Arabidopsis thaliana: one gene and its partner. The gene in region 1 interacts genetically with each later gene. Each region holds a gene or a part of one and is shown in the gene's direction. Other genes may lie near its edges. The genes, in order: CESA6 and SOS5.

The links.
Region 2: changes in CESA6 (region 1) and SOS5 impair growth when combined (synthetic growth defect), as found in Arabidopsis thaliana (one study listed by BioGRID).

Annotation. Positions count from the first base shown.
Region 1 is NC_003076.8:25,874,756-25,887,398, forward strand, and holds CESA6 (cellulose synthase 6), read left to right. Parts: upstream 1-6,277; 5' UTR 6,278-6,799; coding exon 6,800-6,880; intron 6,881-7,274; coding exon 7,275-7,470; intron 7,471-7,558; coding exon 7,559-7,761; intron 7,762-7,844; coding exon 7,845-8,122; intron 8,123-8,204; coding exon 8,205-8,471; intron 8,472-8,554; coding exon 8,555-8,900; intron 8,901-9,087; coding exon 9,088-9,225; intron 9,226-9,311; coding exon 9,312-9,437; intron 9,438-9,548; coding exon 9,549-9,761; intron 9,762-9,844; coding exon 9,845-10,121; intron 10,122-10,206; coding exon 10,207-10,403; intron 10,404-10,485; coding exon 10,486-10,836; intron 10,837-10,996; coding exon 10,997-11,578; 3' UTR 11,579-11,973; downstream 11,974-12,643. Other genes in the region: AT5G64730 (Transducin/WD40 repeat-like superfamily protein), read left to right, coding at 1-84, 183-266. UniProt on the Arabidopsis thaliana protein: Catalytic subunit of cellulose synthase terminal complexes ('rosettes'), required for beta-1,4-glucan microfibril crystallization, a major mechanism of the cell wall formation. Involved in the primary cell wall formation.
Region 2 is NC_003074.8:17,133,422-17,146,064, reverse strand, and holds SOS5 (Fasciclin-like arabinogalactan family protein), read left to right. Parts: upstream 1-7,805; 5' UTR 7,806-8,190; coding exon 8,191-9,453; 3' UTR 9,454-9,719; downstream 9,720-12,643. Other genes in the region: AT3G46570 (Glycosyl hydrolase superfamily protein), read left to right, coding at 1-268; AT3G46565 (NAC (No apical meristem) domain transcriptional regulator superfamily protein), read right to left, coding at 860-996, 1,011-1,134; TIM9 (Tim10/DDP family zinc finger protein), read right to left, coding at 6,764-6,950, 7,339-7,433; AT3G46540 (ENTH/VHS family protein), read left to right, coding at 10,654-10,796, 10,892-11,014, 11,116-11,277, 11,366-11,861. UniProt on the Arabidopsis thaliana protein: May be a cell surface adhesion protein that is required for normal cell expansion.

The DNA of each region.
Region 1 (12,643 bases):
GGAGGATCAGAGGATGGATTGGTTTTCTTTTGGGATTTGGTAGATGCAAAAGTGCTATCGAAATTTAGAGCTCACGATTTAGTGGTAAAGATTCTTTCTCTTCTTTTTAACTTGTTTTAAATCTTTTCAGAATAGTATTGATGTTGATTTTTATCTTCGATTGTTGAAATTTTTTGTGGCAGGTGACAAGCGTGAGTTACCACCCGAAGGAAGACTGTATGTTGACTTCTTCGGTCGATGGTACAATTCGTGTCTGGAAAAAATGAAGAAACAACAAATCTTGACTTCGATTGATTTTGTTATTTACGTCTCAAACTCACCTTTCTTCTTCTACTATAGGCTATAGCTGGTTTTTTGGAGTTGGAAAGTTGAAATATTTTGTAGAGTACTTGTATCATTGTATGTGAAGGAAAACTTTTTTTAGGCCTTTTGGTTTTACAATAGCCGTTTGCTGGAATATTTTGTAGATTCACTTACTCTATGTGAGGAGGAGAGTATTTTATACTTAGATGATTCCAAAAGCCCATTTGACAATTGGGGAGAAAACAAGGAAATGTCCGTTTTACATAAAAAGGATGTGAAATAATCGGAAGCCCAATTATGAGAAAATGAGTGAAAAAGAATAAAGGGGTAAAAAGTGTGGCTGCTGGGATTCGAGCCCAGGTCTCCACGGCCACAACGTGGAATTCTAACCACTAAACTACAGCCACTTTGATGGTAACTTTTAAAATCTTGTATATATAATTTCATATCTGTGTGTGGGGTAACTTTTAGCTATTTGATTGCCCCATCCGATTGAACTTGGAATCAAGTAATATCCTTTTCTTTTTGTTTAAATATTCTCCCTACTTTACCTTCTGAATCTACCAAATTAGGAATTAAGATTCTATTCTTCTCCCAATTATTCCCACGTTTAAAAAGATAACGAAACTGAATCTCTGATTTGATTTATGAAATGTTTTATAACTTACAAAAGAGAATCACATAGCTGGAAAATATGGGGTAGCAGTGAAGAAGAACATGGCAATGGCATATTAAGAGTTAAGACCAATCTTTTGCATGTGAATTCTTTCACATATTATATTTATTTAATCTCTTATCCGCCGCCCCGTAATTTTATTTTTATTAGGAAGACAAATTCAACTTCACAATTAACAACGGTATATCATACTTCCCTCAAGTGATATATTATATATTAATAACTATAAATTGTTTTACTCTTTAATTCGATTTTGACATTTTAAAGTCGTTTTACGATGATGACCTCTTAACCACTATTCAAAAAATAAATAACGAGTTACAAGACATCTACGCAATAGACGATTATAGACCGTACTGATTATCGTTTAGATATTAAATTTATTTCGGAAGCAGAGTAGCAGAGTTAGAGAATTTCAATGTGGTTTTTCATTTTCTAACATAGTAGATGTTTTATATTATTTTTTATATTACATTCTAAATGTTTTAGTTTTGATATTTATTACTTTACTAGAAAAAAAAAAAGGTTCAAATGTGGTTTGAGATTATATTTTTCTCTGAAGATTCAGTTTTCAATTTTACTATTTTTGAAACATTAAGAAATTATTTTAACGCCAAGTAAAATGTTGATCGTTTAGCGACTAATAAAAACCACTTTGAGCTTAACAATAAAATTACGTACGGTCCAAATCATATCATTAATCTTACCCGAACAATCCTACTCGGTCGTCGGAAAGTAAACAACTAGTTTCGGTCCGAATCTGATCAGGCGAACGTACGGTAACAGAACTGTTAAAACGAACCAATGAGGTCGCGAGTATAATATAAAGAACTGTACTCGTGGAAGTTGAAACTGGCCATGAGCTGTCGAAAGGCAAAGAAGACCTAACGTTACCGCTGCCCGTAAGAATATCTCAAACGCTGCCCGAAATCTGAGAGAGGAGAGTTCCTTAATACGGACCAGTTAGACTTTTTTTTTTGTTTGTTGTCTAAAGTACAACAAAGCAATCTCACAGCTGTCCAATATTGTTTTATTCATCTTTATATAATTTTGTGCTTAATTATATAGGATATACTTTTCAAATTTAATGCAACCACAAATATTTTACAAAATAACGTATTAATGGGATTAGTCCATGTTGGTGTGTTATGACATTTTTTAGAGTGTAGGAGGTATAAGAATTAAGAAGATTATTGGCTATGAATTATTGAAATATTTTACTGCACCTATTATTTTCAATACATGTGTACCAAACTGGTCTTTTAAAAAATTCTATTAATTTAAGTTTTGCCGTATATATGTATCAATTTATGATACTTAATTAGTAATATGATTTTTACCAATCTTAAATTCTCCTTATGGACGAAAAAAATTAAAAACATCCTCTTATGGACTCCACCGACAAGATAATTACTATTTGACACGTGGCATTAACAATTTATTAATGCTAATAAGTAATTAGAATTTGATTATTCCGGTATTCCCCGTTCCATAGAGTTTTAATTATTTTTTTCGAAAATAAATGATGTTTTCCATTCTGTAGTACAAATGAAAGCTAGATTTTTTCTCTACATTTCATCATTAGTTTGAATTATAAACATTAATTTTATGTTAACATTAGTCTAGCTATTTTTTTTGTAAAAATGTACATCACCAAAATTACCAATATAGAAGGGTAGTTTTATTTTACTTGTTGTCTTTGTTTTTTAGTTTGATTTTGTCGTCATTGTCTTCGATTTTAAGGTTATAACTTATAACCATGTTATTCTTCAGAGAGTTATGGAATAAACACATTCTTACTTTGAGCTCACGTCGTAAATATGCACTTTTTGGTCGTCAATAATAGATAAATAACAACGAAAATTGCCAGCGTAGAAAAAGATAAATTAGATATTTTAAAGAAAGCTACTCATTGCGCACTATCTCGCAGTTATGATTACACTTTTACTAGAAACAATTTGTAAAATAACAACGAGTCAAAAGTCACCCATGAGTCATGCAACACGTGTTTAGATTAATCATATCGTTTAACTAAATTCATGTACACGTAAAGAAATTTACCATTTATGTGCTTCCACCAAAATACATAATTACATTTGAGTTTCCGTTTAGGGACAGAGATTGAGCTTTGTTCCAGATTAATCACCCGACATCATATAAAATCTTCTTTTTTCCGGCTGAATCATTTGTTCTGTAGCGACTTTGATTTTTAAGCAATGACACTATAATTTATATTATATATATATATATAGAAGGATTCTTATTTTCGATCGCTAAATTAATTAACTTTGAGAAATTTTAAAATGGAAACAAAAGAAAGGAATAAAGAAGGAAACAAGCAACTATGTGATATAGCCTAGGTGGTACATTTTGTTTTGGTTAAAGAAACAACACAACTATGTCGCAAACGCTATGAGTTTTTCAACACCAATTTCGTTTTCGGTCATTTGTAGAATAACATGTTAATGAAGTTAAATCTTTGAACTTGTTTATATCAATATTTAACATGCTCCAACGAAGAAGTACTATTTTTTTTTATCACAAATGTTTACTGGGTTAAGTGGTGTATATGTTGTAATGGTTTCTTCTTTGTCAAGGTAGATTATAGACTTGACCTGATACGTCTATGTATTTTTTTTTGGTTTTAATGTGAAGTAATACGTCTATGTTACTTTGATTTTGTTTTCGGTAAGGTCTATGTTACTTTGATTGACACACTGGATATGTACTACTCAAAATTATACTAAATATATAGCAAATATAGATATAACTCATTACTCAATATACACACATGTGTGTGTAAATTTGCTAATCATGAAGCGTAAATTTTTGTGCAACCTAAGCCTATGCGTTCTGATTGCGTAATCTTAAAGCGAGAACAATTAAATTTTGAGAAAAAAACAAAGTAATCACACAAAGAAAAAAAAAATCATGTGAACGACAAACAAACCCCACATAAAATGGTGTATTCGCCACTCGTTAATTGGCTATGTTCCGCGTCGCTCAGCAAATGGATCGTGAGTGTATCAGTTACAAGTGAAGCCGAAAAGAGGAAAAGAAAAAAAGAATAATAATTGTAGATTTTATCAATAATTTATACCATTTCGTTTGAAATTATTGAAAGAATTTTTTTAACATCATATTTATATATAGATTTTACTGTAATGCAAGTTATGGTTTTCAGTAATACAAATTTCTAACACCGAGCCCGCCATTAAGGTTTATGTAGTTTCTAGTAGATTTTACATTATGTTAAAAACGTAAAATTTGAACGATCTACATATTATTATGTATTTTTCTAATATATTTTTTAGTTGAAACAACCAATTTTGTAAATAGCTGTGGTATGATCGAATCAAGTTGAAGTGCAACCCAAACATTAATCGGGTCTACGTACATAAAATCTCTAATCACGTTGACCAAGCGCTCCAGCTCGATCTGCTAGTAAAAACAGAAGCAATATATTTTTTATTTTTTTTTATGTACTTAGTTAGTGGTATATATATAGTTGTAAATTGGGTATTTCCAAAGAACCAAAGTAATGTAAACTATACATAAGCGAAAATTTAAACGTTTTTCTATTCTATAGTCTTGAAAATTAAAACAATATTTACTAGGAAAAAGAATAATATAAGGGCACCGACAGTTTCTATAAGAACATGTGGCACGAGGGCTTGGAGAAGACAGTACACAGCATTCAATCAATCATGAAAACGACATTTGATGTGGTAACCTACTAAAGTTCGATCTTTTTTTATGAAAGTTTCTTAATATTTCTTTAATTTCCGGACTATATCTATCAACAAGTCAAAAGATTAAAAAAAATCAACAAGCAAAATACTGTTAAAATATTGTTTTATATATACCACGAACTATTTGTCGGCAAATGTATACATATAGTATAGACATCATACATGGGCAAATCGCATATATTTGTGTGATGTGATACCATAGTCTCAATAATTTGAACATTTTTCTCTTATTTAAGCACGGAGGAAAAATTAGCTATATGGCGACTTGGCGAGTGGAGCCAAGATTAAAAAAAAAAAAAGCATGTTATTTAAAAATATGGTAGACATAACATACAAAAAAATATAGTAAAATAAACAGAACTGATTGAACAAAAGAGAGTGATCAAAGTTGAAAAATAATTTAACTATAAAAACTAAAAAGAAAATTATCAGAGGATGGAGATATTAAACTAATAAAAATGTAATTAAATAAGTAAACTATAAATTAAATAAGTAAAAAATTAAACGTAATTAGAAGGAACAAAAAAAACTAGAAAAGTAAAAACATAAGAGAGGAAGGAGGGAAGCAAAAGTGAAAACCAATGCAGTCAACAGTCAAAAACCATGATACAGTCCATGCGTAGAACATAATTAACTTAAGCAATAAATTTAATAAGTAAAAAATTAAACGTAATTAGAAGGAACAAAAAAAAAGTATATAAAAAATTAGAAGGAACAAAAAAAAAAACTAGAAAATAGGATCTTGGACACGATGCTTACAGATTGTTTTTTGTCTGGGAAGTAAATGCCCATATCTGTTTCTCGACATTTTGAAGTCTCTCTAACAAAATAATTAGAGGAATTAAGAACTTGATTGTGTAACTTTTTTTTTAATCTTAAATTAAGATAATACTATTTCATTACAACTATTATTTTCTTGCACATGTTGCAAGAACGTGAGAGTGTACGCAGACAAATAATTAAAACGAAAATAAAATTATAATGATTATATACAATCTCGGCTATCAATTGATTAATAGAGAAAATTGACTAACCACTCTGAATTGGCTCAAAATGTAGTTATTAATTCAAACCGAGTTTCACTTCATTTATATTATTTTCATTTTTTAACTTTAAAATATATATATTTAATAAACCAAATATGATCTAAACTAAATCTAAAAGGCTCCATCCAAAGTAGATTTGATTTTACTATATATTTAAAACATGTATGGTAGGAAAATTTAACCGAAACCAAATTAAACACATTTTAGGGTGAAGAAAATCACCCAAAAAAAAAAGGTGACTTTTTTTTGTAACAAAACAAAAGACCTAAAGTTTAGAGACAAAATAAAATGTTAGGGTGATTCAATGCATCACATAATACAGTATTGTTAATAATTAATGGCTAATAATAATGTGTGTTTGGAAGTTTTTACTAATCTCTTCTTTACAACAACAAGTGGAGTGGAAGAGAGAGATACACACAAGGTTTAATGGGTCCCACATTCTTTTACTTCTCAAAATTTAATTACTAATTTTATCTAATTTTGGTGCTCTTTTTCCTCATCTACATAATTGCCTTTAATTATCTCACACCATTTAACTAATCACTGATTCTCTTCTTCCTTACGCGTTTGTACTTAACCCCCTTTTATCATCATTTCGCAGGCTTGCGTCTGTCTCTCTCTCTCTCTCCACCATTGACTCTCTCTCTCTCTCTCGCTCTGGAATCATCCTTTATTTCTGTGACTGTGTGCACTTTCAGAGAGGAGAGAGAGGCCCAAAACCAAAAGAAAAGAAAAGGTTGTGGCTTGCAGCTGAATCAATACCATCTCCATATATACAATACACCTTCACTATTCCCCCTTTTGTATTTTTATTATATTTTTCCCATCAAAGTCTGTTTTTTTAGACTCCGGTTTGCCGCTTTGTGTGTGTGTGAGAGAGAGAAAGAGAGCTATCTATCCTCTGATTTATGGTCTCTGGATCTCTGACAATCGAGTTGAGTTAATTACAACACATTCCTCTCTTTCTCAATCGATCTGTGAAATCCAAGATTGTTAGCTGTGTCTGTTTTCAGACAAATATGAACACCGGTGGTCGGTTAATCGCCGGTTCTCACAACAGGAATGAGTTTGTCCTCATTAATGCCGATGAGAATGCCCGAGTATGTTTCTCCTCTTCTTTTGTTTCCAATTCTCTGTCTTTTGATCTGTGTTTCTCTATCTCTGTTCAAAAGTCTCTGACTTTTTTTACTTTTCTTGTGGATCTGGCTCTTACCACTGCAAATCAATTAAGATTTAGGGTTTTTAGTACTAGTATTAAGATTACGTACCCTTGTAGCTAATTTTATCAAGAATTGATTGTGTCGGTGGGATGGATTTTTCCGGATTTGACTTGTCTTAATTCTCCAATTTAAGAGATTTCTTCAATTGCAATTATGAATCTATCAATGTGAAGAGTAATAATTATGTTATTGGGTTACTTTGATCTGGTGTGAGATCCAGTCTGATAGTGTCACTACTATGATCTGATGTATTTAACTCTACTGTTTTGTGCAGATAAGATCAGTCCAAGAGCTGAGTGGACAGACATGTCAAATCTGCAGAGATGAGATCGAATTGACTGTTGATGGAGAACCGTTTGTGGCATGTAACGAATGTGCATTCCCTGTGTGTAGACCTTGCTATGAGTACGAAAGACGAGAAGGCAATCAAGCTTGTCCACAGTGCAAAACCCGTTTCAAACGTCTTAAAGGTTCGTTGTTTGTTAGACCAAATTTCTTTGGTTTTTTGTGAATGTAGAAGATTTTCTGATTTGTTCGGCCTATGTTGTTGTTTGTTAGGAAGTCCAAGAGTTGAAGGTGATGAAGAGGAAGATGACATTGATGATTTAGACAATGAGTTTGAGTATGGAAATAATGGGATTGGATTTGATCAGGTTTCTGAAGGTATGTCAATCTCTCGTCGCAACTCCGGTTTCCCACAATCTGATTTGGATTCAGCTCCACCTGGCTCTCAGATTCCATTGCTGACTTACGGCGACGAGGTAAAAATCTCAGAATGTATCCACATTGTATAACCCATCTTCAGTAATTGGCTCACTCAGATTTCTCTTTTGTTTTATTACAGGACGTTGAGATTTCTTCTGATAGACATGCTCTTATTGTTCCTCCTTCACTTGGTGGTCATGGCAATAGAGTTCATCCTGTTTCTCTTTCTGACCCGACCGTGGCTGCACATCCAAGGCCTATGGTACCTCAGAAAGATCTTGCGGTTTATGGTTATGGAAGTGTCGCTTGGAAAGATCGGATGGAGGAATGGAAGAGAAAGCAGAATGAGAAACTTCAGGTTGTTAGGCATGAAGGAGATCCTGATTTTGAAGATGGTGATGATGCTGATTTTCCAATGTAAGGCAAAGAATATAATTTTTTTTGTTGATGTCTTGTTCCGTTGCAGTGATATTTATCAAGCCTTTTTTTTCCATTTTAGGATGGATGAGGGAAGGCAGCCATTGTCTAGGAAGATACCAATCAAATCGAGCAAGATAAATCCTTACCGGATGTTAATTGTGCTACGTCTTGTGATTCTTGGTCTCTTCTTTCACTACCGTATTCTTCACCCCGTCAAAGATGCATATGCTTTGTGGCTTATTTCTGTTATATGTGAGATATGGTTTGCTGTTTCATGGGTTCTTGATCAGTTCCCTAAATGGTACCCTATCGAGCGAGAAACGTACTTGGACCGACTCTCATTAAGGTACTTACATCTTGTGGGTTATTACACTTGGAAATGTTAAAACTTTGTTTTGGGGATATAATCCTTATTTTTTTTGTTTGCAGATATGAGAAAGAAGGGAAACCGTCGGGACTATCCCCTGTGGATGTATTTGTTAGTACAGTGGATCCATTGAAAGAGCCTCCGCTTATTACTGCAAATACTGTCTTGTCTATTCTTGCTGTTGATTATCCTGTCGATAAGGTTGCTTGTTACGTATCTGATGATGGTGCTGCTATGCTTACTTTCGAAGCTCTTTCTGAGACCGCTGAATTCGCAAGGAAATGGGTTCCTTTCTGCAAGAAATATTGTATTGAGCCTCGTGCTCCCGAATGGTATTTCTGCCATAAAATGGACTACTTGAAGAATAAAGTTCATCCCGCATTTGTTAGGGAGCGGCGAGCCATGAAGGTTACTAGTTCTTACTTTTTTATAAATTTGATTTGATGAGAAAAGTTTTGGTCTAATTGATTCTTGCTTTAGAAAAAAAAAATTCATGAGAAAAGTTATCAATCTTTTGTTATATGGGCTCTTATGAAAGAAGATGGTGGCTTTGAAAATTGATTTGAAAGATTGTGTGTTTTACTGGTTTTGACAGAGAGATTATGAAGAATTCAAAGTAAAGATCAATGCTTTAGTAGCAACAGCACAGAAAGTGCCTGAGGATGGTTGGACTATGCAAGACGGTACACCTTGGCCCGGTAATAGTGTGCGAGATCATCCTGGCATGATTCAGGTGAGTTTCAAATGCTTCTTATTTCTGAAAAGCCTTCTTATGTGTTGTCCTTCAAAATTTAATTATACTTTGTTTTCTTGTTAAAGGTCTTCCTTGGAAGTGACGGTGTTCGTGATGTCGAAAACAACGAGTTGCCTCGATTAGTTTACGTTTCTCGTGAGAAGAGACCCGGATTTGATCACCATAAGAAGGCTGGAGCTATGAATTCCCTGGTAAATGATATACTTTTTAAAGCTCTAAACCTTCTTCTTTGTAAATTACGTCTTGCCATTTATTGAAATGGTTCCTGACTCTTGATTTCATCTACAAAACTTTTGTTGAAGATACGAGTCTCTGGGGTTCTATCAAATGCTCCTTACCTTCTGAATGTCGATTGTGATCACTACATCAACAATAGCAAAGCTCTTAGAGAAGCAATGTGTTTCATGATGGATCCTCAGTCAGGAAAGAAAATCTGTTATGTTCAGTTCCCTCAAAGGTTCGATGGGATTGATAGGCACGATCGATACTCAAATCGCAATGTTGTGTTCTTTGATGTAAGTACAGCCACCACTTTCCTATTGTATCCCTTTTTCTTGAGATTTCTGTAGAATACCAACTAATGAATCTTTATTTACAGATCAATATGAAAGGTTTGGATGGGCTACAAGGGCCTATATACGTCGGTACAGGTTGTGTTTTCAGGAGGCAAGCGCTTTACGGATTTGATGCACCGAAGAAGAAGAAGGGCCCACGTAAGACATGCAATTGCTGGCCAAAATGGTGTCTCCTATGTTTTGGTTCAAGAAAGAATCGTAAAGCAAAGACAGTGGCTGCGGATAAGAAGAAGAAGAATAGGGAAGCGTCAAAGCAGATCCACGCATTAGAAAATATCGAAGAGGGCCGCGTCACTAAAGGTATCATACAAATCCTGTTTGTTGTTAAACTCTTTCGTTAGTCGGTGCATTTTACTAAAAAAATAAAATTTAAAAAACATTCTAGGTTCTAACGTAGAACAGTCAACCGAGGCAATGCAAATGAAGTTGGAGAAGAAATTTGGGCAGTCTCCTGTATTTGTTGCATCTGCGCGTATGGAGAATGGTGGGATGGCTAGAAACGCAAGCCCGGCTTGTCTGCTTAAAGAAGCCATCCAAGTCATTAGTTGCGGATATGAAGATAAAACTGAATGGGGAAAAGAGGTAAGCAGCCGGTTTTAAACCTTTGTTGTGTTTATTCAATCAATTCTTGATTTTGATGATGACCTTGTGAAAAAAATCTCAGATTGGGTGGATCTATGGTTCTGTTACCGAAGATATTCTTACGGGTTTTAAGATGCATTCTCATGGTTGGAGATCTGTTTATTGTACACCAAAGTTAGCGGCTTTCAAAGGATCAGCTCCAATCAATCTTTCGGATCGTCTCCATCAAGTTCTTCGATGGGCGCTTGGGTCGGTTGAGATTTTCTTGAGTAGGCATTGTCCTATTTGGTATGGTTATGGAGGTGGGTTGAAATGGCTTGAGCGGTTGTCCTACATTAACTCTGTGGTTTACCCGTGGACCTCTCTACCGCTCATCGTTTACTGTTCTCTCCCTGCCATCTGTCTTCTCACTGGAAAATTCATCGTTCCCGAGGTAAAACAATCATCTTGAGTTCTCAAAATATGAATCTTTATTTCACGTTTTGTGCTTATTCATTTTCCTTGCCACTGGGGGTTAAAAGTATCATATGAATCTTTATTCCAAGTTGTGTGTTTTAAGACCGGAAAACGATTCTTGTTCCTTCTTTTTCCAGATTAGCAACTATGCGAGTATCCTCTTCATGGCGCTCTTCTCGTCGATTGCAATAACGGGTATTCTCGAGATGCAATGGGGCAAAGTTGGGATCGATGATTGGTGGAGAAACGAACAGTTTTGGGTCATTGGAGGTGTTTCTGCGCATCTGTTTGCTCTCTTCCAAGGTCTCCTCAAGGTTCTTGCTGGTGTCGACACTAACTTCACAGTCACATCAAAAGCAGCTGATGATGGAGAGTTCTCTGACCTTTACCTCTTCAAATGGACTTCACTTCTCATCCCTCCAATGACTCTACTCATCATAAACGTCATTGGAGTCATAGTCGGAGTCTCTGATGCCATCAGCAATGGATACGACTCGTGGGGACCGCTTTTCGGAAGACTGTTCTTTGCACTTTGGGTCATCATTCATCTTTACCCGTTCCTTAAAGGTTTGCTTGGGAAACAAGATAGAATGCCAACCATTATTGTCGTCTGGTCCATCCTCCTGGCCTCGATTCTTACACTTCTTTGGGTCCGGGTTAATCCGTTTGTGGCGAAAGGCGGTCCTATTCTCGAGATCTGTGGTTTAGACTGCTTGTGATTCGATTGACCGGTGGATGGGTTGGTGAAAAAGGTTTAATTCCCACGGATCAAAGAGAGGTAAGAGAGATATTGTTTTACCTCTAAAAGACTCCTTCATTGTGTTCATTAGATGATGAAAAATGAAAAGAAAAAGAAGATTTAATTTTGTTACGAGAATTGTTATTTTTGCAAGAATGTGTTGTAGATATAGAGATGAAGAAGAAAGTTGTTGTCTATTTGTTTTGTTCTTTGGTGGTGAGAGAAAAAAGATTTGTCAAATTATTCTTTAATTGAATATTTCTGATCTCTTTTGAATATTACAGAAGAGCATTTTCAATCTGTAATCTTTTATGATTAAAGAACTTTGATTTATTTTCACTAATTTCCCTATCTTATTTCTTGTTTGAAAAATTAATTTACTCGAGGTTTGATTGGTTTTGATTTTCAATCCGCATGCTTGGAGACGTTTTAAAGCATCCATTAAAAATGTTACCAAACCTTAGAAAATTACGAACTTGATCAGAGTGGCCCAAAACAAATTATACAGGCCCAATACAGGCCCGAATCTACACAGCCTTTTACACTTTTATTGGTTCTGTTTTGACAAGTGACATGGTGCTTTCATCATATCTGCAGAGGGCAGCACTCAGATTGGTTAGTCTTTTTGGTTAGAGAATTTTGAAAACTTTTTTGTTTCTCATTTGTAAGTGTCACTACGCAAAGTAATTTAATATTTTTGTATCGTTCTAGTTTTATTAAAATGTCTACACATAGATACCAGAAAGAGGACTTTAATTTCGAGTCATTTTTGAAATAAAAGTTTCTAATTTTGTCACATTTCAGCAAAAATACTCGTGTGTATATGTAATGTCTACTGTTCCTTTGGCGGCTGAAATAAAAATGTGGGTAGTACGTAAGTGACACGGAAGCATAAGGATTTTATGGAATGTTACTAAGAATCTTAATACTAGTACTTATTATTAATTATGATGTGATATATTTTAGTTTGACTATTGACTATTTTGGGATTTTGTTTGACCAAATAAAAATAGTGGTTGACTTGTCGGTGTTGAGAGTTGTCTAT
Region 2 (12,643 bases), on another chromosome or scaffold:
TTCAGCTGGTGAACCGAACCAAACCGGCGTCGGTTTAGATTATGCCGCAGCTTACAATGGGAACCTTATAAAGCATGTGAATTCTGGTAAGGGCACTCCATTGATGCCAAACCGGGTTTTCGAAACTTATGTTTTTTCTCTCTTCAACGAGAATCTCAAATCTTCGGTTTCAGAGCAAAACTTCGGTTTGTTTAAACCGGACTTCACCCCGGTTTACGATGTCGGTATCATGAAAACAAATAAGGTATATACGCTTCAATTATTGTAACCAAGTTTCAAGGTGTTAAACAATATTGTACAGTAAGTTCCTCTGTATAAAAAGATGAAATAGTATTTTTTGGTAACAGAAGCTGCACAAATGTATGAGGATGGTGTGTTAGCGTATGTAGACGTTAAGATTTTAGCTGATGTTCATATTAGAGCATTTGAGGATGTTCAACCTTGCGTCGATATTTCAACTTCAACCAAATCGTCAAACTGAAGAAAAAGCTCCCAAGCTTGTGGAGAGTTTGTCTCCTTTGATATACCTATGCCACTGAGGGTTCAATTTTTATTTGAATTATTGCTTTGTTGGTTTATGCTATTAGAAATATACTAAATTAATAAAAGTTCCTTTTTGTTTTTTTTTTATATGTAGAAATGATATTGTTTTCTAATCATAATTGGAAAACAATAATTTTGCTTAGATATGATAATTTTAGATTCATACCACCAAAATTTTATTTTTTGGCTTAAATCACAAGTCACAACCAATAAACCAATAACCCAAAAAGCTATCTCCTGCATGGTACTTTAAAATATAGATGATAAAATACTTGACAAATTGTACGACCAAATCGTTGAATCATGATTTATTGGTTTAGTTGCCGCTCTTATCTGTTAGGTTTTTCTTGATCCCAATGATATCCCCTATGTCCTTGTCGATGATATATTCTTTCTCATTCACCCTCCAATTCCCGCGGCCGATGCCATTGTTGTTGTCTCCCGTGATCTCCCCTTTGAATACTTACCACGACCAATCTTCTTCTCGGAGATTTGAGTTCTTGTCGAGAAGTAGTACCACTCGTCTTCTTTGAAAAAAGAATTGTTGGAATGGTCAAGCAACCATGGCTCCTTGGCATAAACATCCTTCATCACTATGAAGTTTCTGGAGTCTTCACATCTTAGCTCACGTTTAAGATTAATCGTTGATGACTTCTTAGTACGTTGGATCAAAGTGAATCCTTTCGTCTTCTTCGAAGTATTCCATCAACATCTTTATGATTTTCAAAGGATTAAGATTTTTTGTGAGTTGAGAGATTACTAAAATTAAAACTAAGATAATAAATTTCCGATGATTAACTATAAGAAAAGAAGTGAGCACAATTGTAAATTTAATTAACTTGTGAATAGCTTGTACAAAAAAACCTTTATAAATTAAGAAAATTTTCCGGTCTCGAGTCGGGTCAGCGTAATATTTAACCTAAAATAATAAAAAAATGTTTGAAAATTAAATGTTATTATATGTTCACATCAGTATCATAAATTAATAATTGTATAAATTTATCAATATATATATAATACATATATAATACATCCTACTATATTATTTGGGAAGTACATTTTAAATGTAACCTTAATTTTTGTAAGTAATTACATAGGTATGCCATTAGAAATAAAATTTTAAAGAGTAAATTAATTTATCTCTTTAAGGATTAAAAAGTCAAATACTAATTTAATTAAAAAACGAAATACATTATTAATTTCCAAAAATAATAACCAATCATAGTCAACATATAAGATTTGATATCTAAATTTTAATTAATTTAATTTAATTAGAAAAACGAAATACATTATTAATTTCTAAAAAAGTAACCAATTAAAATCAACAAATTATATTTGATATCTAAATTATCATATTAATTTTTTATTAATTATTATAGTTCACTTCTCATTTTTATATGATTTTATTTTTTCAGAAAAATAATATCATCATTATAAAAAAACAACTAAAGTTTTTTCCCATATGCCATAAATTGAATTTTTAAAAACAAATATAAACTGTTCAATACATAAAAAAATATTATAACGGATAAAAAATAGATTTAAGAAAACTTTCTACTAAGTAACGGGTCATAATTTGAAATATTTATATTCAATTTCATACATATTATATTGAAAATTTATAATCTTATATACTACAATAATTAATAACATATTAGATGTGATTTAATTTTTAATACAAGTTGGAAATCCTAGAATTGCATGTTTAGATCGATATTAATACAAGATGGTATACTACAGATGAAACTCTTAAATTAACAATCAAACTACAAGTGTATAATCTTAAACACTAAACAATATAGATAATATCAACAAAACATATACAACTCACAGTTTACTATACATTTAAAATCAAATAAAATAATATCAAATATTTTTAAATCATCTTTACAATAAAAAATTTTAGTTTAACTAAAATATATACCGCAAGTTAATATCTAGATTATAGGGCTTATTGGATCTAAAGACGGATCATCAAAGATTAGAAGCAAAATATATTGAATATTCAAATATCTATCTGTTACCAAATTATAAACAAATAAGTCAATTTAATATTTTATATACGAAATCAATTAAATCTTAATCACATAAAAATTAGCACAAAAAAAGTATTCATCAATTAAAATTTTATCAAATCTCTGTGTTATATAAGTTTTGATACTATATTCGAATAAAGTGTAATATACCTTTTCAATTTGTATTCTTTAACTAATTTATGCTAACTAATATATTTGCTAATCTTATACCTATCAAAACCGACTATCGTTTCTTATCTCTATAGTATTTTTGCAAGACTTTTTTGGTGGATTTGGATAAAAGTGCATTCGGGTCATATGGACATTCTCCTATTAAATAAATATGGTGCACTCCTATGTTATTAGCTAAAATGTTTAGATTCTAATTCAGAATCATATCATTAATAAAATAAATATTAATAAAATTAATATTAACAAAATAAATAGCTTTTTGACAAGACGGATTTGGAGGGACGGGTTTTTGAATCAACATTAATAAAAAAGTAAAATATAATTAATCCACCGTTTTAATACGGGTTAAATCTTTAATTTATTATTTTTTAAGACCACTAATATTAAACATATCAAATCATCCTAATTTAGAAAAGATTATATAAAACCAAAAATGTTATGTGGTATGCATAATGTTACTATATATAAAATTAAACTATAGATATAAATGTATTAGAGAATGATACAATTTGCAAAACTTTTCTATATAAAAAATTATTCTTAAATTTTAAAAATTACTATTTTAAAAAAAAATCATGGACGGTAAAAAAATTACAGAACGAGTTCTATTTTGGAATTAGGTTATATGGTGGATGTATTTGAATCAATATTTATTAAATTTTAAAATATTATTAATATGCTGTTTTAATAGGGGTTAAAACTTCAGTTTTTTTACAATTATCTCATGGATTCGTGGTATACCGTTACTTAATAACAATTATAAACTGTAAAATATAAATATTTTATAAAAATAAAATTTGCAAGTTTTAATATATATTACTTTTAAAAAATAAATCGTCCCGCGGTATACCGCGGGTTAAAATCTAGTATATATATAAATATGTAAGAAAATTTAATAAAGTATAATTTTAGTATTGTTTGTTTTTCTTAACTATGTATTAATCCTAGGGTTCACTAATAATATTTTAGTACGTCAAAATCTTTTTGTATTGTTTTCAAGGTATAAATAATTTTTTGTTATCTTGGATTTGGTTTTAAAAGGATATTGATTTCTATTAAAAAACACAATTTATTTCATATTCATTTTTTTCAAAATTACAAAATTAACTAGAAGTGTGTATAATCTAATAATTCTTCATTTATCGATAAATTAATAGAATTTTGCAGTGTGACACTATTAATTTATAAAAAAAAATATTTTGATTAAAATTGAATTGTCCTTGATTACATATAGAAAATCAGGTTTCTATACATAAGTCTAAGTTACATTAATATTTTTGAATTGACACTTAAAATGATTATGAAAGAAGAAAGACCGTAGGCCATTGTTTCAAATCCTATAACTAAGACATGACCTTGGTTATATCATAAACTTAAGCAATAGTAAACAAAACTTCCAACAACTTGACTTCTTAAATTTCAATGGGTTTAATTATATTCCATAGCTAAACTTAAATAGTTTTTTTTAATATTCAAAAGGTGACTTTTTCTTTCCTTTTTTGGTATATGTACAAAATAACCATGAAACCAAAAAGAATAGAGTAAATGACTATGGGCAATAGTACTTTATCGGAGAGGCAAATAAAATTACTAATATATCATTTTCTCATTTTCTCTTTCATCTTCTCTCTCTTTTTTTCTCTTTCTTTCACTCTCTTTTCTAAGATTCTTTCTATCGCCGGATTTATGTCATCGACTTCTCTTCATTTTATGGATATTGTCTACCACCACTTACTCCGTAATAATATTACGGTGACCATGACCAAATGCCAAATTGTTTTTTCTTTATTTTTATTTGATTCGTGTTACTTCGTAAACTTTTATGGTTTTTCTGAATTTTATGTAATATTTTATGATATACTGGTATCTTTCCGTTTTAACATACTATATTTATGTTTTACATATGATTTTTTAATATGTCATGATGTTGTTTATTTTGACATGCTATTGTTCAAAAATACATAAGATTTTGGACAAATAGCAAGTTGTTTCTTTCGTTATTTTTATTTGATTCGTGTTATTTTTAAAAAGTACATAGATTTTTTTTTCTTTAATTTTTTGCCGTTAGATGACTCCCTTTCTGGACTACTTACTCTGTAATAATATCACGACGATTATTATTTCGTTATTTTTATTTGATTCATGTTATTTTAAAAAAGCACATGATTTCTTTTTTTTTTTCTTTAGTTTTTTGCCATTAGATGACTCCCTTTCTAGACTACTTACCCTGTAATAATATCACGATGATTATGGCTTCCACCTCTAGATCTCTTTTCTTTTCTTTTTCTTACTGAACCTTCGGAGTCTCTTTTCTTTTTCTCACTAAACCTTATGAAATCTCTATCACCATAAATAAAAGTATCATTGTAAAAACTATAAGTTTACAAAGTTAATTGGTCTTTTCTTTACCCCTACTCCACCACAAAAAGAATCATTTACCCAACATTTCTCACGGGAGAACGGCCTATTCCACCATGAATTTAGTTGCTTTATCGTATTCATACATAGAACTTTGAGTCGTGCTTATAACTACATGAACTTAACTAAATTTTGCATTTCCTACACAATATAAATTCAGTCAAAACCATCAATTCGACAAACGGTGTTATTGTTCCGTTAACGAGTGCTAACTGGGATGCCACGTCGTATCACAAAACATGTAGTTAAGTTCATGTAGTTATAAACACGACTCAAAGTTTCTTCTCCACCAGCTTATTCTCAGTTTCCATTCTCCAATTTTCCTTCCAAAACATGGATGTTCCTCGTGGTCTGATATTCAAAGAAAAGCATCTCCCGTAAACTTGAAAATCTCCATGAACATTTTTTATTATTTTTAATTTATTACATTATATATAATTGTTCAAACGACCAAAATAACAATTGTTACCTTGGCTCTACTGGTTCCAAAGTGGAGTAATAATGCCAAAGGTTGTTGGTTTGATTCTCCACTTTGTAAGATTTTGTTTCAGATTTTTTATTTTCTATAATTGAACAAAACGACGCCGTTTTGTGATACGACGTGGCATCCCAGTCAGCACTCGTTAACAAAATAGTAACACCGTTTGTCGAATTGATGGTTTTGACCGAATTTACATAGGAAATTCAAATTTTAGTTAAGTTCATGTAGTTATAAGCACGACTCAAAGTTATGTGTATGAATACGATAAAACAACTAAGTTCATGATGGAATAGGCCGTTCCCCCCATTTCTCACATATGATTAGTTTCTTAATTATGATGTCAAATATCGCTATCCACTAATATTACCTTTTTTTTTTTTAACAACAGAGAAGGTGGCTTTTTCTATACCTATAAAGAATTTCAATTACCAAATTTAGTTAATTTATTATCACTAATTTAATAAATAGACATTCACGAAAATCAGTCACTCGCTCACGTCTACATGAATCAAGTAGTAGTATTGTAGTAATGTTCCACAATCAAACCGAATATGATCTGCTCCCAAAAATAACTCATAGTGAGTTTTGCCAAACGTAGAAGTTGTAACTTTAATAAACTCGTACACGATCATGATGAGAACTCAAGTTGTTTCATCTACATCTCATCTCTTCTCTTCTCTTCCTTCTCTTGGAGAGTTACACTCTTTCTCTCGTCTTCAACGAAGATCACAAATCAAATCTACGGTTCCGAGCAAAACTTCGGTTTGATTAAACTAGACTTACCAATGTCGATATCATTAAAACAAATAAGGTACCTTTAGATTAGATTAGAGCTCGATTTCTTTTGTAACAAAGTTTCAAGATGTTAAGCAATATTACACATTGAAAATTTGGAACTGGTCGATGTAATACTGATATGATATGATATTCTCTAGACTCCATTGAAATACAAGTCAATATCAATATCAGAACTGGATACAGTCAAAATAATTTCACAGTACAAGATGTTCAAAAAACAGTATCGGAGTAGTAACCTGAACAACTAACAACCGGTTTATTCTGGTTTCGGACTCGTAAACCGTACGAAAAAACCAAACAGAAAAAGCAGACTATATCAGTCTTGGGTTGGTGCGTTCTGATTGAGCTCAGCAAACCGCATACCAACACGCATCGTATGCTTAAGGAACTTCTCAGCGCAACGCATCACACAAGTCTCCTCTTGTTTCTGCAGAGATTTGCGTGTGAAGCTATCAACACAGTCCACGAAACACCTCTCCACCAATGAATTGTACATCCTCAAACTGAAATTCACCAAAAACAAAACTCAACAAAAGTAGCCAAAGTTAAGGCCTAAACACAAAACAACAATAGGCATTGCATAAGTTGTTACAACCTAAATAATGTGAAGATTTTGTGAGTTTTGACAACAACACACAAAATGAGACAACACAGTTACATCTTAAAGAACAATTTCACTAACTCTAATCCAAACTTTTGTTTATCAATGAACCATAAGGACCCAAAGATCTATAATTAGCCAGAAATAAGTACACACTAACCTTGAATCAATATTCTAAAGCAAATCTAATTAGCTTTGAACTATAAGAACAAAGATTTCAAGGAGCTAAAAGTCAATTTTTTTGGGAGAATCCTAAATGAAAAACAGAGAAACCGATCTAAGTGACGAACCTATCACGGAGCTGAAGCTGATCGATCATGGAGGCCATTTTGGCTTTGTCTTCTTCAGGAAGACCATCAAGTCCAGCCATCATGCTTGCGTCCATTTTTTTCCCAACTCTTTTCTTTCGACTACAGATTCAATTCTTCATCGCCTCCTTGTTCTGTGCTTAAGACTTAAACCCTAGCGATTTTCTTTATTGGGCCTGGTGGGCTTTATTACTTAGACTTGATTAAAGCCTAATGTTTTACTAATTAGGCCCGATATATAGTAACGGTACCAAATATATAATACTCGCCTACATACATATGGTTATCTTACTTATCTAAATAGTCTCATAAACTATTTGAATTCCTTTCTAAATCAAATACACTAAACTTGAGGGAAAAAAAACAATCTAAACGGTAATCCTAATTCGATATTTTATCTAATCCAAGTAATTGCATTGTACTATTGTTGATTAAGATTAAGTGACTGCAGCTTAATTAATTCACAGCTAGGAAACTCACATGCAAACGAAAAAAACTTTAATGACATTATTATTAAAACTATACCCCACGTGGGCACCACATAAAATACATTAATTTTATTTCAATCAAATAAATCTTCTCACCAAAATCTAATCACTACAAGACTAGAAGTGTCCACAAAAGCATCTCTCTTTCTGACACAATGACATCTGTTTTGTTCTACGCGTGAACTTCAAACTCCCAAACACCGCGCGTCATACAATTCCCAACGATGTCTCTAATTTTAATTTCGTCCACCAAACTTCACTCACACATCACTCCCATCTCTCTATCCACTCACTTCCTTCTCTGTGTTCTTCTCTTTACCAATCTCATGACCTAACTCAAAAAATAATGGCGAACGTAATCTCAATTTCCCATTTTACCCTTCTCGCATTACCTTATTTACTTCTCCTCCTATCTTCCACCGCCGCCGCAATTAACGTCACCGCCGTCCTCTCCTCTTTCCCTAATCTCTCATCTTTCTCAAACCTCCTCGTCTCTTCCGGCATCGCTGCCGAACTCTCCGGTAGAAACTCATTAACCCTCCTCGCCGTTCCCAATTCTCAATTCTCCTCCGCCTCCTTGGACCTCACGCGCCGCCTACCTCCTTCCGCCCTAGCAGATCTCCTCCGCTTCCATGTCCTCCTCCAGTTCCTTTCAGATTCCGATCTCCGACGTATTCCACCGTCAGGCTCCGCCGTCACTACTCTCTACGAAGCTTCCGGTCGTACATTCTTTGGATCTGGATCCGTTAACGTAACCCGTGACCCGGCTTCAGGATCCGTCACGATCGGATCTCCAGCCACCAAAAACGTCACTGTGTTAAAGCTTCTCGAGACCAAACCTCCCAACATAACCGTCCTCACCGTGGACTCCCTCATCGTCCCCACCGGAATCGATATCACCGCATCGGAGACTCTCACTCCACCGCCGACGTCAACATCTCTCTCCCCTCCACCGGCGGGAATCAATCTCACTCAGATACTAATCAACGGACACAACTTCAACGTCGCTCTATCCCTCCTCGTCGCTTCCGGTGTCATAACAGAATTCGAAAACGACGAACGTGGCGCCGGCATCACAGTCTTCGTCCCCACCGACTCCGCCTTCTCCGATCTCCCTTCCAACGTTAACCTCCAGTCATTACCGGCGGAGCAAAAAGCATTCGTGTTAAAATTCCACGTGCTACATTCATACTACACTCTCGGTTCACTAGAATCAATAACCAACCCGGTTCAACCGACATTAGCCACTGAAGAAATGGGAGCCGGTTCATACACTCTCAACATCTCCCGGGTTAACGGGTCAATCGTAACGATCAATTCGGGTGTGGTTTTAGCTGTTGTGACTCAAACGGCTTTTGATCAAAACCCGGTTTCTGTTTTCGGAGTATCCAAAGTTCTTTTGCCTAAAGAACTATTTCCAAAATCGGGTCAACCCGTTGCCACAGCTCCTCCACAGGAGATTTCTTTGTCGCCGGAGAGTTCTAGTGAACAGCCGTCACGACTAGTATCACCACCGCGTGAGATAGTTTCTTCCGGCGCGGTTAAAAGACCACTTGGTTTCTTGGTCTTGTGGTGTTGGTGTATAGCATTTTGTTATGTTTTGGTATGATTTTTTTTTCTTTCTTTCTTTTATCACATAATGTTTTGCCTTCGATTAGGGCTTTATTTATTTTTACTGGATTTTTTTTTTCACAAGGGTTTATATTTATTCACGATAATGTTATTGTATTTGAGTCGAGGAAAAAACAAATTCACTTTCCCATGTAAATTTGGATTGAATGGGCGATTTTGGGTAAAACCCATGACTATATAAATCCTTCATTTTCTCTTTTGCTCTTGAATCATCTTTTACCGAAGGTTATTCCCAGTTTCAACCTAAAATATGTCAATAAATTTTACTTCATCATGCAACCGCGTGACCTCAATTTTCTAAACATTAGTATATTCTAATTTCTACAAATAACACGTGGATTTGTAACTTTTAAATGGTTAATTTATATAGATTGAGGTGTGGTGAAATTCTAAAGAAGTTTGTATGGAATCTAAATATCAGGAGTGAATTAGCTCAGCGGAATAATAAACAGTGAGTGCGTGACAGGTGCAGTAGTGGGTCCTACCAAGTTGACACCGACGGTCCAGATCGCCTATCTCTCAAGTCAATTTCTCGCTAGATTTTCGGGTTATCTAGAGCCGTCGGATCTTAAGATCCCAGTGTCATCAGCGCGCGTGTGGATGTGTACGGCCAGATCTAACTCTACCTTATTCACTTCACTTCACTGACTCCGTGAAAAGAGAAGGGAGTCATTGATCCCCTGTGCTCGCTCACACACTACTACCGTACTATTTTACTAAACCGTATATTTGAGTAATTTAAGATTTTTCTTTTTAACTGTTGATCTTGAAAACGAATTATTCATGTATTTTCAATCGAGAAATTCGTTTTCAAGCTATTAATTTTGTAACTTCTATGTCTTTTTATGAATTTATGAGTTATAAAAATGATTCAAAATCAGATCAGTTGAGGCAATTGATGTGGAATTAATGGTAATTGGTGGTACTATAGTGCTTGACTTTTCCAATGTAAAACGATCAACGATCATTCAAAATTTTCAATCTTGTGGACCTTTTTGGGGATCACAGATTTGGACTTTTCTTGGTTATATTAAAGTTTTTTTTGTCCATATATTCAATGACCAATCTAGAATTCATCTGTTTTTGAACTAACCCAACACTAAAGAAATAGATCCAAAGGCCTCTCTCCTCTCTCTCGTTTTTCTCATATGGTTCTTGATAATAATTTGAAAGAAAGATGTCAATGATGAGCAGAACTCGAAGCAGCATCGCCATGGGAACACCATCTTTCCTTGAGTTGAAGAAACAAGCTTCATTTTTCTTCAAAGAGAAGCTTAAAACGGCGCGTTTAGCTCTCACCGATGTTACTCCTCTTCAACTGTTAGTCTTTTTTATTTTTGGCTTCTTGCTTCTATCTTTTTTTCAGGAGTCTTGGTTTCTAACACAGATTTATGTGTATGTAAATTTGGTTGAAGAATGACTGAGGAAGCTACGGATGGTGAGTCATGTGGACCAAATACACAAACCTTAGGGTCCATTTCAAAGGCTGCTTTTGAGTTTGAAGATTACTTGGCGATTGTTGAAGTCTTGCACAAAAGGTTACATAACTTGTGATTAATCGATACATTTTACTTAAACAAGCATATTCTATTACTGAGATTTGGAGCATTTGTTGTTGTTATTGTTTGGTGTAAATTAGATTGGCAAAGTTCGATAAGAGAAACTGGAGGATGGCTTATAACTCACTAATAGTTGTTGAGCATTTACTCACTCATGGACCAGAGAGTGTTTCCGATGAGTTTCAAGGTGATATAGATGTTATCTCCCAAATGCAAACCTTCCAACAGATTGACGAGAAAGGGTAATGGTTTTAGCGTTTTAAGACGGATCATGTTTGGTATGAAGAGAGTTTCAATGTTCTTAGGCTATAAGGTTTTGTTTTTTGGTAGGTTTAATTGGGGATTAGCTGTTAGAAAGAAAGCAGAGAAGGTTTTAAAGCTACTTGAGAAAGGGGAATTACTTAAGGAAGAAAGGAAGCGAGCTCGTGAGCTGTCTCGAGGGATTCAAGGTTTCGGTAGCTTTAACCACAAGTCTTCATCTCATTCTTTGTCAGAGCATGAAGTCTTACAAGAATCTACAGTCTATAGGAAATGTAATTCCAATTTTACCAAGAATTACGATGAGGATGACCAAGAGAACACTATGGTTTCTCCTAATGACGCCAACCTTTTTCCTCAGCCGCTGGTAGCTGACCCGAGCGAGGAATCTAGGACGGGTATGAAAGAAAATATGGATCCTGAAGATGATGAGAACACAGAGGTAAACCCACTTTTGGGTTTTAGTAAAAAGGAGGGTCAAGAACTAGCCGGAGAAGACGAGAACCATCCATTTACGGATGGCGAGAGTAAGCATACAGTAGTCTTGCTTGATGAGAACACAGATTAAATTTTAATTACGTGATATCGCAATCTGTATAAGAGAAAAAACACGAGAAGAAGATAATGTGTGTATACCAATATGTATACATATCTACAATAATAACACTTCTGTTAATGACTGATCTGTTTTTAACTTGCTTTGTTGCAAGAGAGAGATTAAAATGAACAATGAAGGAAGAATAAAAGAACACAGATAGAAAGATTTAAGTAACTATGGCAGTTGTCTAAAGAATGGATACAATGATATCAAAGTTTTTACCGCACTTGTTTTACTTATTATTTTGAGTAGAATTACTTGGTATCCGTCATACTCGGCTTTAGTAATTCACATCTGCAAATTTGGAACACATGTGGCACATTTTGTATCAATTTATCACACAGTTTATACACAAAAGCACTCAACTATAATATCAGACAAGTATGGTGTTTATAACTCACTCGTAGTTTATGAGCATTTTGCTCACTCACGAACCAGAGAAAATGTTTTCTTATGAGTTTCAAGGTGATAGAGATGTTATCTCAAAAACGCAAATTTCCAACTTGTTTTAGGGTTTAATGGTCAATCATATATGTTTGGTGTGAACAACAATCTATAGACTCTAAATCTTTAAAATTTAACACTTACATAAATATATGTGAAAAATTGAAACTTCCACGAAAGATTGTCTAACAAGTTGAGAGATGAGAACGTATATTGGTCCCACGTCTACTTGAATTATTTTGGACATAGTTACAAACTATATATGCATAGTTTCGAGATAATGTAAGAGAGGTCGAAATTTCATAACA